2 linked regions of the Macaca mulatta genome follow. Each later gene encodes a partner of the first gene's protein in a complex. Links are inferred from orthologs where the notes say so. Each region holds a gene or a part of one and is shown on either strand. Other genes may lie near its edges. The genes, in order: TIMP2 and MMP2.

Region 1 (4,493 bases):
TCCTCCCACCACAGCTTCCCTGTAGCTGGGACTACAAGTGTGCGCCATCACGCCCAGCTAATTTTTTTTTTTTTTTTTTTTTTTTTTTTTTTTGTAGAGAAGGGTCTCACTATATTCCTCAGGCTGGTCTCAAATTCCTGGCCTCAAGCGATCCTCCCACCTTAGTTTCCCAAAGTGTTGGGATTACAGGCGTGAGCCACTGCACCTGGCAAGATTTCTGCTTAACTTTTCCTGGGAGCAATTCCAGCCTGTTTGTGTGCTGGTGCGGATGTCTTCGGGGAGGGCAGTCCAGGACGCAGGTGCGAGGCCTTGGGTTGGAAGTTCCAGTCTCATGCCCCCTGACCCTGGAGCCCAGGCCCGCCTTTCCTCCCAGGTACATCCATATTGGCCCCGCCCCCTTGGTTGTAGGCACCACGGCTGCTCTAAGTATTTATCACCCTAACATGTACCTGATCATTTATGTGTAGAGCTTGTCTAAAAGACCGAGAGCCCCTAAGCTACCTGTTTCTATCATGAACTGACAAATTGAAACACAAGCTCAACCGCATTTTGTTCTCCTTGTAACCAAAAAGAAGGAAAGAAAACAATGAAATGGTTGCAGGCAGCCAGCACATAACAATTTTCTGAATTAACTGTACTTTTAAACGTTAGCTTCAAACATCATTTTGTGAACGACACAACTCTATTTCACGCTAACAAAAACTGAAAAAGTGACTTTGGATTTGTCAGGGTGCTAAAAATAACGGCTCTGCTTATTTAACTTTTCTCAGAGCTGTTACAAAGCATACACAAACAGAAAGAAGCTGTTTTTCCATTCTTTCACTATTTTCCAAAATTTCATACCTCAAGTCAGCACTGCACAGTTTAGCGGACAATTCTGCTCTTTTTTTTTAAACGGAGTCTTGCTCTGTCGCCCAGGCTGGAGTGCAGTGGCGCCATCTCCGCTCACTGCAACCTCCGCCTCTTGGGTTCAAGCGATTCTCCTGCCTCAACCTCCTGAGTAGCTGGGACTACAGGCGTGCACCACCACACCAGGCTAATTTTTGTATTTTTAGTAGAGACGGGGTTTCACTGTCTCTACTAAATGTTGGCCAGGCTGGTCTCAAACTCCTGGCCTCAAGTGATCCTCCCGTCTGGGCCTCCCAAAGTGCAGGGATTACAGGCGCAAGCCACCGTGCCCGCCCTGATTCTTCTTGTGTCATTTTCCTAGGCTTCCATCTCCCTAGCTGGACTGTAAACACCCTGGAATGCTGATCTCAGTGCAGCAGTGTCCACGGAGCCCCTCGGGGCACACACCGGATGTGCAGGGTGGGTGCCCGCAGCCGGGCGCAGGCAGGTTCACAGCCAGGAGGCCCGCCTCACCACCCTACACATGTTCATCCCTTCATATGCCTGGGTCTTTCCTGGAACACAAAACTGTTTTGGGAAAAGTCCTTCGGCTCCCACATTTGTGGGCTAAGAGAGGAAACTGTGAGCGGAGCCCAGCCAATGCCTCTGCTGCGATCCTACTGGCTCCTGGGCGCCTGGGCCCACCCCCGTCTCTTGTTGGCTGGTCAAAAATATGGCCAGTTTATATAAAATCCTGTTTTGTTCACAGTAACCACACCCCCACCCCCCAACTAAACTGGCCAGGCGCACTTGAAATTCTAAGGCCTCCATTTGAAAAAGGGATCCTGTCTGTTTCTCAATTGGCCACCCGCCCACAGGAACGGGGAGGCGGCGATAGGGAACGGCCCCTGCTCCAAAGGACACCCCTTGGCTCGCCTCGAGGCTGAGCTCGAAGGGACCCCGGGGTGGCGGGGGACGGAGCAGCGTAGCACTCCAGAGTCGAGCTGGAGGGGAAAGGGTGGCGGGTGGGTGGCCCGGTGCCCTGGAGGGACGGGGCGCGAGTCCCACGCGCTGAGTCAGGGCCCCCGGGCGCAGAAGGCCACCCAGCGGGGACAGGGGTCGGGGGGCTGGGGGCGTCCGGGGACCCCCGCACGGGTGTGGGCCGCGGGCGCCAGGTGGTGCGGGAAGCCCCCGACGTGCCAGGCCGGGCACAACAAAAGCGCGGGCTGGGGGGAGGCGCGGGCGGAGGGGGAGGAGGGGGCTGCTGGGAGCGCCCGGAGCCTGCATTGGCCGCCAGCCACCGGGAGGAGGAGCAGAAAATCCTCCGAGCGCAATAAAACGGCGGCACGGCCCGAGCCCGCAGCAAACACATCCGTAGAAGGCAGCGCGGCCGCCGGGAGCCGCAGCGCCGCTCGCCCGCCGCCCCCCACCCCGCCGCCCCGCCCGGCGAACTGCGCCCCGCGCCCCTCCCCTCGCGCCCCCGAGACAAAGAGGAGAGAAAGTTTGCGCGGCCGAGAGGGGCAGGTGAGGAGGGTGAGCCGCGCGGGAGGGGCCCGCCTCGGCCCCGGCTCAGCCCCCGCCCGCGCCCCCAGCCCGCCGCCGCGAGCAGCGCCCGGACCCCCGGCGGCGGCCCCCGCCCGCCCAGCCCCCCGGCCCGCCATGGGCGCCGCGGCCCGCACCCTGCGGCTGGCGCTCGGCCTCCTGCTGCTGGCGACGCTGCTTCGCCCGGCCGACGCCTGCAGCTGCTCCCCGGTGCACCCGCAACAGGCGTTTTGCAATGCAGATGTAGGTAAGGAGCGGCGACCCCCGCCCCCGCGCGGGGCCCCACCTCCCCCACGACCCCCGTGGGTTCGCGGACGCCCCGCCCGCCCGCCGCTGGCCGAGGGACCACAGCGCCCGCCTCCTGGTCCCTCGGCGTCTTCTCGAATCTTGCAAGTGGACGCCCAGAGCCGACTTTCTTTCACCCCTCCCTCCTCTCCCTTTCTTTCCCTCTCTTTGCCGAGATGCGTCTCAACCTCAAAATTCCACCGAAATTCCGCCGCAGCTCCAGCCCCAGGAAAGGGAGCCAGTTTGGCTTTTGGCAGGCGGCGCACCCTGGGATGCCAGCGCTGGGGGCAGGGAGCGTGGGGGACACGGCGTGGGGGCGGGGGGCTGGAGGACTGGGGACCCCAGGAAGAAACTTTCGCAGATAAGGTGGGAGTTGGGCTTCTTTGGGCTTGGGGCTGGGTGGGGAAGGGCTTCTCTGCGGGGCTTCTCCCACCAGCCCCATTTGGGGGCTCCCCGATCAAGCCAGGATGAGATGGAAGCCCGCCCTACCCGAGGCAGGTTCCACAGGCCCAGAGGGACAGGTGAGAAAAGCCAGTGGCGTCCCCTGGCCTGGCTCCTTTTTCGTGCCCTGCCCAGGAGGCCCTGCAAACTGGCTGGGCAGGGACCGGGACCCCCGAATGTTCCGCTTTTTCGGGACGTCCACAAAAGCTGGAGACTTTGATGACTGGACCCGGCACGTGGGACTGTGTGGCTGAGATTCCCCAGCAAATACCCATGACCTCAGGACTCCTAGCCCCCAAAAGACAGGCGCCATGGAGGGAGGGAGGAGGGGCCCAGTTATTTGTTCTGATCCATGGAGGACCAGCAGAAATGGGAGGAACCCGCTGGCCCGAAGTTTCCACCCTGGTCCTACACCTCAAGCCTCTGCAGCACTGGTGCTGGTCAGCATGGTTTTCCTGGGACAAGTCTGGCTACACAGCAAGTGGTCTCAGAGCCCCCTGCCCTCCTTCCTCCTTATGTCTGAGTCTCAGTCGAGTGGCCTGTCCAGGGCAGATGGAGCAAGGCGGGGGCCCCTCACCTGCCCAGACTGGAGGTGGGAGTTTCTGTTTCTCCTGCTGTCAGCCACGCCCTTCCCATACCCACCCACGGCTTCTTGCCCCACCCCAGTTAGCCCTGGGAGCTGCCTCCCCAGCCGGGGAAGTTTTCAGTTGCGCCAATCTATTGGGATCGCAGGTCTCAGGTGGCTCAGGCCACATGGGTGGAAGGCGTGGCGTGTGCCTGTGTCACAGTTTCCACAAAACCCAGTTTGGGGGAAATGAGGTCTTTTCTCCAGTTTAGCCTTGGTGCTCAGCAAGATTTGGGGGTGAAGGAGAGGCTCCTTTGATGAGGGAGCCATAATGGGCCTTTCTCTGGGGGTCCATGGGGAATGCAGGCCTGTCCAGGCTCTTGGGCTGACCAGCACGTGGTGGGGCAGGATGTAGCCAAGGCCCAGAAGGAGGCTGCGGCAAGAAGGACTTGGGAGGTGGATTCGTAGGAGTTGGGCCTTGGGACCCTCCTCCCCGCTCCCCCCGCACCCACACACACACTCCTCAGCTGTGTGGGAGAATGTCCAGGCAGCCACTCTGTCCTTGCTTGGCATAAGTTAAGGCGGCCACTAAGCTGGGAGCTGTTTCTGCGTGGGGTGTGGATCCAGGATGGCAGAGGGCGGAGGGCTGCAGTTCGTGCCTCCTGCCTCCTTCATGCTTGGCACAACACTCTCCTTTTCCTGGGTTGCCTGGCATTTGTGTCTAAATCTTTGCATCAACATCATCCTTTAGCTAAAACTTTTCACCCCATCCCAGCTCAGAGGCCCAGTCAGATGCCAGAGGTGCACTGCAGAGCTCAGGGCATTCGCTTCC
Region 2 (3,803 bases), on another chromosome or scaffold:
AGGGCATTCAGGAGCTCTACGGTAAACCTTGGGGGGTGGGGGATAGGGTGGAGGGAGGTCATGTAGCCTGGGATGGAGGCCCAGGGGTTGGGATCAGCAAGATCTCATCCAGCCAGGAGTGCTGGAGACAAGGGCAGGAAGCGGGAGTGTTGACCTAGTCCTGGGAAGGCAGAGCAGTTCTGCAAGGGGATACTTGGATAACTCTTCCCTATCTGAACAATGCTAATATCCATGTCACTCTTAGCTCTCCATTTCTGGGTTTCTCCCATTTTCTAGGTGAGTAAGGTCACCTGGTGCAAGGTTACACAGGTTTGAGCAACCCAGTGGAGTTTAGAATCCAGAAGAATAGCCAAGTACAGGACAGAATTTTCCGTCATGTGGAATTACCTTAACAGTAGGCGGGTGGAAGCTTCTGGTTTTCATAATAAGCTTTGATTTTAGTATGTAATAGAAACAGAACAACCAGTGCCTTAAGCCAGTGATTTACTTATTGTTGGTGCTTACAGTGAGGCTAGAGTTTAAAAAGTCTGTTCAGTTTTTTTTTTTTAATGAAATATTTAGCCGGCCGGGCGCGGTGGCTCAAGCCTGTAATCCCAGCACTTTGGGAGGCCGAGATGGGCGGATCACGAGGTCAGGAGATTGAGATCATCCTGGCTAACATGGTGAAACCCTGTCTCTACTAAAAAAAAAAAAAAAACAGCCGAGCAAGGTGGCGGGCGCCTGTAGTCCCAGCTACTCAGGAGGCTGAGGCAGGAGAATGGCATAAACCCGGGAGGCGGAGCTTGCAGTGAGCTGAGATCCGGCCACTGCACTCCAGCCTGGGTGACAGAGTGAGACTCCGTCTCAAAAAAAAAAAAAAAAGAAATATTTAATGGTCCTGGTGATATCTGAGCCAGGCCAAAATAGTGAAAATGGTGATGAAGTTTGGGGACCGCTAGACTCAGGAAGAAGCCCAAGGTCTGCTGTGAAGGGTGCTGGGTTCAAGCGTGGCCTCTGCCTCTCACCAGCTACAAGATATTGTGCAAGTCTTTATACCTCTTTGGACTCAGTTTCCTCATCTCTAAAAGAATTGCTTATCATGAAGAGTGCCCCACTCTCAGTGCTGGACACACCAGTGGCCCCCTGACTGCCCTGACTCTTGTGGGTCTAAGAATCTGAGCTTTGGGTTTGAGTCCTTGGGCAAGTCACTCAACTTTTCTGGGCCTCAGTTTCCTCACCTGTGAAATGGTGCAATAATGATACCCCACTCTCAGGGATATAGAGAGGACCGATTTGGGTGATATCAGTAAAAAGCGAATCTAAAGTACAAAAGGCCCCAGGACTCCCAAAGTCCAGGCATCTTCTTGTTATCTTACGGAGCTTACACTAAGGCCAGAAGACAATTTCTTCTGACTCTTAGCAGATTGGGTGGGCACCCCTGGGGGCTCAGCCTGGTGGGGAGAACCTTTGCAGCTGCAGAGAGTCTAAAGTCAGGTGTTCTCCCCCAGGGGCCTCTCCTGACATTGACCTTGGCACCGGCCCCACCCCCACGCTGGGCCCTGTCACTCCTGAAATCTGCAAACAGGACATTGTCTTTGATGGCATCGCTCAGATCCGTGGTGAGATCTTCTTCTTCAAGGACCGGTGAGTGCAGGAGCTTCCTTCTTGTCCTCCTTGTCTCCTGTCCTCTGCTCTTATACTATTATTCTTTTCCCTCACTCTTTGCCGAAGACCCCACCAAGTGCTTCGCAGAATGACCTGTATTAGGCGGTTTCTGGTGTGTATCAAACAACCTCCAGGTTTCAGTAGATTTTTTGCACCCAAGCATTTTGTTTGCTCTCCTATAGTCTGTGGGTCTACTAGTTATCTTGGCTTCCAGCTTCAGTTTGGGTTCAGGTATGCTCTGCCTGTTGTTCTCATGGGATTAGCAGCTACACATGGCAGATGACATGGTGCTAGAGGCCAAATTGAACTACACAAGTGCATTTAAAGCCTCTACTCACATCTTGTCTGAGAATATTCCACTGCCTGAAATAAATCACATGGCAGATCCCAACACCTACCCTAGAGGGTGGTACTGCAAAGTCACATGGAAATGTACATGAATGCATAATCCTAAAATCGAAATGGAGGGAAGAATTGGGAACAATAATTCAGTCTACCACAGGCCTTCTTCTAGAATGGCGTTGCCCTCAAATGGCCAGATTACTCTGTGTATGGGTGGTGAGCGACTGCAGAGTAGAAAGAGGTGGTATTCTACCTGCTATAGGTAAAAATCACCACTCAGTTGACTAAAGGCTGAGGTTTACCCTAATGTCCTAGCTCCCTGGAGAATGGCAGGCAGTATCTAGGACCTCATTAAAGGGTCTGTCCTTCCATTCTTCTATCATCCATCCATCTATCCATACCTGTATCTTTCCATCCATCATCCATCCAGCCAGCCAGCCATCTATTATCCATTATTTATGATCCAGCCATCCATTATTCATTATTCATCCATTTATCCATTCATAGAGCGTAGTAGTTGAGAAAATGGACCCTGAAGCCAGGTTGTCTGGGTTAGAATTCTGTACTTGCTACTTACTGGTTATATAATCATAGCCACGTTAATTAAGTATCTTCTTTGTACCTTGGTTTCCTCATTTATAAAATGTGGCTAATATTCCAACCTATCTCCTAGAGTTGTTGTAAGGATTAGATGAACTTAGCGCTGAGAACAAAAATAATGCCTGACACAGAGTAAGTGTATTCATATTAGCTATTATTATTGACAAATAATTGTTTGACATCTACTGTGCCAAATACTTGGCTAGGCTTTAGTAGCTGGAGGAGGAAGAATGATGTTCTTGGGACAGTGGGGTTGGGGGCTGCTAGATCAGTGTTCTCAAAGACAGGAGCGTGGGCCTCCCATAACAGAACCACCTAGAGTGTGAGGATTAAAAGGTGGGTTTCTGCCCCCAGAGTGTGAGTATTAAAAGGTGAGTTTCTGCCCCAGCTTCAGACCCTCCTGACTGGAATCTCTGGGGATAGGCCCCAGGAATCTGCATCATAGCAGATTCTCCCAGTGATTCTGATGCACATTGAAGTCTGCATCACAAGTACAGTTTGAGAAATAGGCATATAGAGAACTGAATGGCAGGATCAAAGAAAAGTGATCGCAGAGGCATTAGGTGCTTTTGTGGGCACATCCCAGTCAAGGAAGACTTCACAGATGCAGCAGCATTTAAGCAGAGCCTTTAAAGGAGAAGCAATAATCTGATGGGGGTGACAAGTTAGGAGGTTCTTTGAGACAGAGGGACCTGCAGAGCCAAGCCATAGTGATGTGAAAGTTTCTGGATTAACCAGCGAGAATCTGGTGAAGCTAGAAGATGTTCCATAAACTTTCAGGAAGGATTTCCTCTACTCTAGGCACTGGGCCAGATTCTGGGGTGCAGATGCTTTGCCCTTCACAGGGTCTGCTGGCCAATGGGGAAATGGCAAGAATGCAATGAGAGATGAGACTTAGAATGTAGTGAGAAATCAGGTCCCATCAGGCCTCGAATGCCCAAACCAGGGTATGTAACAGCAGATGTCAGCGCTGCTCTGCAGTCCTCATTGTAAGGATCTGGCAATGTCCTTCATCTGGAGCACCTCCCACTAAGAAAGCCCTGACCGCACACACAGATCTCAGATGTGTGGGGCCTAGGAAAGGATGCAGAGCCCAGACCCAGGCTGGAGCCATCCCTGGCCTACCACATCACAGTTTTCTTTCAAAAGGAACTTGATGAATGTTTAATGGGTTTGTTTGATTAACCAGTAAATATTAAACATCAACCACGAATAAA

Evidence for each region.
Region 2: the proteins of TIMP2 (region 1) and MMP2 are in contact, whole or in part, in a crystal structure (PDB 1GXD), measured with the Homo sapiens proteins. The link is inferred for Macaca mulatta from reciprocal best matches to the Homo sapiens genes TIMP2 and MMP2. Residues at the interface, in NP_003246.1 of Homo sapiens: Ile162, Pro163, Cys164, Tyr165, Ile166, Pro169, Leu173, Met175, Val178, Thr179, Phe191, Arg196, Asp198, Ser200, Cys201, Ala202, Trp203, Tyr204, Arg205, Ala208, Lys211, Gln212, Glu213, Phe214, Leu215, Asp216, Glu218; in NP_004521.1 of Homo sapiens: Trp574, Lys576, Asn577, Lys579, Tyr581, Phe588, Arg590, Lys595, Asp599, Phe602, Lys604, Ile606, Ala607, Asp608, Ala609, Trp610, Asn611, Ala612, Asp615, Tyr636, Leu638, Leu645, Lys646, Ser647, Val648, Lys649, Phe650, Gly651, Ser652.

The regions. Positions count from the first base shown.
Region 1 is NC_133421.1:88,607,250-88,611,742, reverse strand, and holds the start of TIMP2 (metalloproteinase inhibitor 2), read left to right. Parts: upstream 1-1,621; 5' UTR 1,622-2,053; intron 2,054-2,189; exon of another isoform or gene 2,190-2,420; 5' UTR 2,421-2,487; coding exon 2,488-2,617; intron 2,618-4,493. UniProt on the Homo sapiens protein: Complexes with metalloproteinases (such as collagenases) and irreversibly inactivates them by binding to their catalytic zinc cofactor. Known to act on MMP-1, MMP-2, MMP-3, MMP-7, MMP-8, MMP-9, MMP-10, MMP-13, MMP-14, MMP-15, MMP-16 and MMP-19.
Region 2 is NC_133425.1:50,981,987-50,985,789, forward strand, and holds part of MMP2 (72 kDa type IV collagenase), read left to right. Parts: coding exon 1-21; intron 22-1,487; coding exon 1,488-1,623; intron 1,624-3,803.